Linked DNA regions of Oryzias latipes. The protein of the gene in region 2 purifies or fractionates together with the protein of the main gene of each other region. This does not show direct contact. Links are inferred from orthologs where the notes say so. Each region holds a gene or a part of one and is shown on either strand. Other genes may lie near its edges. The genes, in order: aqr and xab2.

What was found.
Region 1: the proteins of xab2 (region 2) and aqr fractionate together in Homo sapiens (co-fractionation; 3 studies listed by BioGRID and IntAct, with this or other methods). This does not show direct contact. The link is inferred for Oryzias latipes from reciprocal best matches to the Homo sapiens genes XAB2 and AQR.

Annotation. Positions count from the first base shown.
Region 1 is NC_019880.2:7,476,858-7,480,684, reverse strand, and holds part of aqr (intron-binding protein aquarius), read right to left. Parts: intron 3,764-3,827; coding exon 3,695-3,763; intron 3,518-3,694; coding exon 3,417-3,517; intron 3,314-3,416; coding exon 3,237-3,313; intron 2,283-3,236; coding exon 2,218-2,282; intron 461-2,217; coding exon 344-460; intron 265-343; coding exon 151-264; intron 1-150.
Region 2 is NC_019866.2:8,752,001-8,755,460, forward strand, and holds part of xab2 (pre-mRNA-splicing factor SYF1), read right to left. Parts: intron 3,331-3,460; coding exon 3,211-3,330; intron 2,861-3,210; coding exon 2,729-2,860; intron 412-2,728; coding exon 280-411; intron 147-279; coding exon 33-146; intron 1-32. UniProt on the Homo sapiens protein: Involved in pre-mRNA splicing as component of the spliceosome. Involved in transcription-coupled repair (TCR), transcription and pre-mRNA splicing.

The DNA.
Region 1 (3,827 bases), on a different chromosome or scaffold from region 2:
ATCCTCTCAGTCAGATTGGGTTCTGTCATTTCCAGGGATTTTTCAATACATTTAAAACCTGACAAAAAAACTGGATGTCCAAAAAAAAAGCCCACAGCTAACAGAGGGCTGATAGAAACTCTGCTGATCTCTGATTAAGTCGCTGTTTACCTGCAGAGAAGTGATCTTGTCATAGTGCAACGTGGTCATTTCTTTCTGCGTAAGAGCATTTCCTGTCTGATCATTGATCTCAAAACCAGAGTAAAACTTTAGCATGTCGAGAAGCTGAAAAGAACAAATAACACCAATTAGGATTTCTTCACGGAGAAAACAGGTTTTCAAAGTCACTAAAAGCTTGTTTTACCTGACAAAAGAGGTGGCCCTCCGTTTCTCTTTTAAGGAGGCCAGAGAGTTGGCAGCTGACCACAAGATGAGAGTCGTCCAGCATTGTGTTGAACCATCGTCTGGTGGGCAGCAGCGCCTGGAAACACAGGGAGGCCATAGCATTTGTACTTTTGAGCAGACATGAACGAATGCTTTTGTAAGAAAGAAAGCCATTTAAAAAACTAATTAATTGCATTTTCACCAACATTTTAAACAGGAAGGGTAAAACAAAGCAACTGACTTAACAATTACCAAGTTTTTCAGCAAGTCAACCCCATTTATGAGAGGAAAACACAGCACATCATAGTAAATTTAAAAAGAATCAGCCAGATTCCCAACCGAAAGATATACATTTCAGCTTCATGATTCAAAACTGCCTTTTAAAGACAGCAGCTGCAGCGCCTGCATCCCTAACTATAAATCAAATAATTCAATATCTATAAGCCACCTTTGAGTGTAACCCTTCGGACGGAATAGGATCCTTTTCCCTGCAATCATATTTAGATTCTCGTCAGAATGGGAAGTATGGATTTCTTGCGATTGAGGCTTTGTGAAAGGATAGTGCTGAAGGACATGAAAAGTCTCTGGAGACAGTAGGCTAGCTGACCACAAGCTGCTGGCAGGAACTGCAAGGCTAACCTGTCAGCAAAGAGCCAGATGAAATCTATTGAGCGTCTGTGTTAGACAGATTTGATCTGCTAAGGCAGCAGAAATGATCGTCTTGTGGCACAACATGTCTTCACAACAACCTCATTTGAAGGCTTGACTGTTCTCCATTCCCGTCTTTTTTTAACACAACTTTATATCTTTATTTTAAGACTGTCGGCACGATTTTGCTAAATGTAAAACACTGATATCTACAATTATTCATTTCCAACAAATTAAAAAGATACACACAACAATCACTAACCTAAAAATGACGTATCCCCATAACTTCCTGTTTGAGGCAGATATAAAACATAAACTAACTTCATCCTGGTGGAGTAACTAATCCCTATAGGAGGTTTTGAACCAGTAGGTCAGTTCTCATTCACTCTTAATGACTAACAGTCTTGCACCATTATTGTTTTTTTATCTCTATGGATAGGTTTAACATAGATGTAAACTTTAATAGGGGCAAATTTGTCATAGGCTAATCATTTGGTATCATTTTCACATTCAAAACACAATCAAACATGGATAATATCTCTTTACAACAGTCGTTCTTGGTGTGCTCCAATAGCCTTTTGGCTTGGTTCTCCCATTTAGTCACCGATTAGAGGAAAGGTTGTGTTTTACTGAGATATATCCTCCCAAAATGGTGACAAAACCAAAGACTGACTTCATACCCAATGGGTTATGTTTCATGTTTTCTTTCATTGACAGTCGTTGGTCAGAAACAAAAGTTTGATTTGACAGAAAAGAACTCACCATCAGAACATTTTGCGCCTTTCTGACTGTAGATCTTTTTAGGGGAATGGCTAGGAGCTAAAAAAATCTTTCAAAATAAATGATTATCTTATATTCTTGCTAATATGAATTCAAACTAAAACTTGAATTAATTAACTTTTATTTCTAAATAGAACTAGGCAATAAACCAAAGCCCATTTCCCCAGACATTGCCCTCAGTAGGAGCTGGAATTTGACATTTATCAAACACCCTGTGACAAAAATTTGATTAGAGTGAAATTAAAAGGTAAACGATGATTAAATTCTAAAACACCTGTACTAACACCATAGTAATGACGTATTACTTTGTTCATGACTGATTCTAGACATAATGTCAGTGGACATGATCTCAGTTTTTACATATAAACTTTAGTTGAGTGAAAACCAAGAGTGGGATGTAAAGTTCAAATTAAAAATCTGTCTTACCTCCAAATCAATTATGAGCTCAATGAATCTTTCACAATAATGGACTTTGTCCATTGACAGAGGCCCTGTGGTAAACAGACATGAAAAAGATTTTACTTCAGATACACAATGTTGTTCATTTAAAGTGCGAAACATGAGTAATAGACTGTCCCAAAATGTCAGGAAGCTAGATGGTAACATTTCCAAAAAATCTGAAGCCAGCAAACATGAAGAAAACACCAACCTGCCTTGCTAAGTGGATGAGCTCTCACAATGAGAGGCTGCACGGCCAGCTCAGCAGCATGCTGGGAGCTCAGCCCTCATTAAGCATTCCTGTTCCTCTCTGTGTGTCTCTGTGTGTGCGCACTTAACGTGGAGACATACAGCAAGCCAATAGAGTGATGCTGACCCTGCTGGGTTTTTGCTTGTAATCAAGAGTGTCAGGTTGAATTTTATCTAAACACTCAGTTTTTAGCATTCTGATGGGGGGGACTCGTGTGTCGGCCTGTATCACGGCATCACGGCCAGCGCATTTAACTGTATAGAAGCTGGAGTGCATGTTTCTTAAGCTGCTGCACGACTCAAAGCAAGGCGACAAAATTATAAGAAAAAGTAGACATTAGCTGAGTGGCCTGGAGGTAAAGTGTCTGCCCGAAGGCTAGAAGATCGAGGGTTTGAGTTCCCGGTCATGCCATATCAAAGATGGTAACAATGGGACTCAATCCCACCTTAAGCATTAACTCAGCATTAGTTGGTTGGATTGGGGGATTAAACTGCCAAAATGTTTCCCTCACCAGTACCCCAGTGCAGAAAAAAAGTGCATACACCCAGTTGTGTGAGTTTTTGGAATGCAATACTACATTTAGTTTGGATATCAAGGTAATGGTAAATACAGGAATAAAGCTGAAAAAATCACATAAACACCTAAATCTGAATTGAAGTGCTGAACTAATATTTTCCAAGGACTTTTTTATTTAATTTTCCATCTTCCATTTGTGCATTTATGCTTTTTCCCCCCCAAACCAAACACATTTATTTACCTGTTGGTGGAACTGACATGAGAACGCCGAGAAACTTTTTAATGAGAGCTGAGAGAAAGGTCCTTTCTTTGATTGCCCTGGAGAAGATACAAAAAAATCAGAATTATCAAAATACAAACAATAAAGAGCAAACTTAAATTGGCGTAGATTTGATTCAAAACACCCAAAAAACAGGCTTACTGCTTAGCCGCATCAGCATCCATCTGGTCAAATTTCTTCTTGATTAGATTCCAGAACTTTTGCAGCTTTGGGACTTTTTTCAGCTCCTGCTGCAGCCTAGACTGCAAATATGATGCAAAAAAATGTAAGAATCCAATTTTTTGGAGAATTAGTAAACAGGGAAGAAGTCAGTGTTAAACAATAAATACACACAAGACAATATTATTTGAAAGAACACAAGATTGGGATGTGGAATGACAACCAGAACATAGGGCGGTAACTAGAAAATGTGAGCTTACTGGTAAGAGGCACATCCACATTGGCAGGGAGACGAGCTGCTGTACCTGTTCTCTGATCAAATCAACCTCCTGCATAGAACAAGAAGAAAGATGAAATGCAGTCATGGGATTTTTCCAAAAGCACAGCATGTGA
Region 2 (3,460 bases):
AGAATGAACAATATCTATTTGCAGACTCTTACTTTGAAGCTTTCCTCAAAGTAATTGTGCTCTTCCAGGAACATGGCATAGTTGATGATGATTTGCGGAGTGGCGATGCGGAGATCAATAATGCGATCATATACTGCTTTTGTAGACTGTGGGAGGGATTGTAAAAAAAGCCAAAGAGGAGTTAGACAGCCAGATCTAGGTACACACTTAGCAATTAAACTGTACTAGACACTTTTGGATTTTAGAATATATTTTTCTCAAAACATACAATGAACAAACCTGGAAGGTGCCGAGACTTTCCTCCAGGTCTGCCAGCATAGACCAAACCTTCAGGGACTTATAGACTCGGTTTTGGACCGGCTCAGATGAATCAAAATACTCTGCCTTCTTTGATGGGATGGCTGTGGCTTTCTACAAATATTCAGACATTTTAAATGCAATAGAAAAAATAAAAAATCCGTGGGGCCACTAATGCATATTTTTGGAGTTAACTTTTTCCAAATTCTGTTCAAGACATAAAAAATGTGTAATTTGTGAGGAAACATTCCCCAATAACTAAATAAAAAAAAACAATATCTCTTTTGAGTAATAAATTCTAGTATTTAAAACTTTAAACTATTTAATTGACCAAACATCAAGAAAAGCTTTCCGTGATGACATTACTTGAAATAAACAAAAAAAAAAAAGGAACATGGGATGACCCCACCCTTACATAGATGTGTTCTCCCTACCATGACAAAGGTGGATAAAGGTGGAAAGATTTCATGAAATCCATGGACACCAGTGAAGATAACAAATCAATGAAAAAAAAAGCTTCAGCGCACTGTCTACGGGGTCTAGATGACCCAACTCCCAATGCTAAAGTGCCTAGGATAGCACAAGGGTTACCCAACTACAAAGCTGTGTCATGCAGTTCTCAACTCTGCCACTAGATGGTGCAAAACGTATGGTTATAACGTGCTTGTAGCAACACCGTTCATTGTCATTGATGCTCTGTTTCATAGCAGTGAAAATTTTTTTGCAAGAGTATAATTCACTTGTATCTATTGTTCAGATTCGGGCTGCACGATGTGAGGAAAACACATGACATGCAATATTAGTGATCAATATTGTGATGACGATATAACTTGCGGTACATGAACAAATAGCAAAACAACCAAAATTATCATTTCATTTTCACTGCAACTGTTTAATTTAAATCAGAGTAAACATAACTTAAATTATACCCCAAATGACCCTTGTCTACATAGAAGGCGAACATCTAACATAAAATAGCTCCATCTGATTCAGGGGTCGGGAACCTTTTTGGCCAAGAGAGCCATAAATGCCACATATTTTGAAATTTAATTTCGAAAGAGCCATACAATAATGTAGTGTCCTTTCCCCACACTGAGGCACGGAGACTTAACCTCTTTTAAAGTTCTTTATTCCGATTACTGCAGACCGCAACAAACGCCCTTCAATTAATTCAGCAACTCCTGAATCTCTCCCACCGAGACGAGAGCGCTTCTCCCAACTTTATATTCCCCTGCTCCCGCTGCAGCCCTCCCATTTCCCTTATTCGGCCCATAGCTGAACCCCATTGGTCCAAACTACCTAACAACAGGCTGAGCGACAGAACTGAGAGCCAATCAGATCTCTGCTTGACGCGTTCAATGAACTCCAGAACTTTTAACGCGGCCCAACAGCCATCCAACTCAGTCCGCGACAATTTGTTTAAAACTAAATATACAAATGAATGTGTGCATTTGATTTAATTTTAACATTTTTAAAGTAAAATAAGTCTGTGGATTCTTTTTAATAACATTGTTATTCTGTTGCTAATAAATGATGAGTATTTCTCGTGGTAGTTTTGCTGATGGTCTAGTCTGGTTGATACGTGGTGAGTTTCTGCTTCGTTCAGGCGTTGAGACTTTAAACGTCATCGTAGGTCTGAATGTTCTATAGATGTGAGACAGACTGCTCACATGCAGACGGGGAGTCAAACACACACTCACACGCTGCAGTGAGTGACGGGAAGCGGGTTTTACGTTTTTACAATCCCTGCGCGATTCACCTGCTGCCTGTCCCCACAACACCTCAGCCCCACCCTCTGCTTTCTCCCTCACACATCCCGTCCCCGCATCTGCGCGCTCTTTCTCAGAGACGGGAGCGCGCAGTTTTAGGCACGTCAATTCACAGGTTTCCAGCTGGTACAAACTCTGTGAAATAATAGATAATAGTAACTGATAGCGCTGGCGCAGATTTGTCTCTCTAAGCACCGCTACTACTGCGCGCCTCTGACATCGCATCGCGCCCGAGAAGGACTGGTCTAATGAAAAAAAAAAACTATAATTAAAGATTTGTCTGCGAGCCACATGTGACCATCAAAAGAGCCATATATGGCTCGCGAGCCATAGGTTCCCGACCCCTGATCTGATTGGTCAAAAACCTGAAGGCGTCCATCTGATTGGTCAAATGGATAAATAGATCTATTTGATTTGTTAAATACTTCACGATGTCATAAGATCGTTTTAGCACATTTAAGGTAACCATTTATTGCAATTTTCGCCACCATTTGCAATATGCGTATTAAACAGCTTGATATTCCGATAATGGTAAATTTGCGTTTTCTTGTGCAGGCCTAGTTCAGAGACACTAACGTTTTTTTTTTCATAAATAAGGAACTTGAGAGATTATGCAAACTAAACGTTAAACAAGCATGTTTCTTGTGATACGAGTGTCTTACCCTCAGTATGCGGAGTGCCTGATCATAGTTTTCGTGACGAAGTTCCATCTCGCCGTATTCACACCAAACTGCAGCAAGGTCATCCACCTGCTTGAAGTTCACTTTGGTAGCCTTCTCAAAAATTGTTCTTGCCTAAAATTAGTAAGCACACAGTACAGCAGAGATAAGTGCAAACTCTATCCACCATGAAGTTTGAAATCTGTTTCAAGTAAAACCCATTTGATTCTTACAGTAAATGTTTTACAAAAGAAAATATAATTTGGTAATCCCTGTGTGCTGAAGACAGAGTAATCTGCAGTGCATCAATGTCACTGCATCAATATCACCAAGCATTAGCAGATTTTAAAACCTTAGTTTATGTATAATCTTTGTACATAATGTTCATTAAAACCAACATTTGAGACCCAGTTAGCAGATAACCTAAAGAAAGTTTAAAACTGCTTTCAAACTGACTGGAGAAGAAAGAACTCTCAGTGACTTACATCATCCAGCTGCTCATTCTCCTCATAGAATTTGGCAAAACACACCCAGAGCGAGTGTGGCTTTCCAGTGGCTTTCATTGGATCCACAGTTTGCACAGCCTCTGTAAAAGTGTTAATAATCTAGAAAGAAAGTAAACGAAAGAAAACACAAAAAATTTGTATTTGTATTGTATTAAATAATAGGGAGTTTCATCTGAGGCTTTTTTTTCCCCACTATACACATCTCAAAAGATTCCACATCAACCAAGAC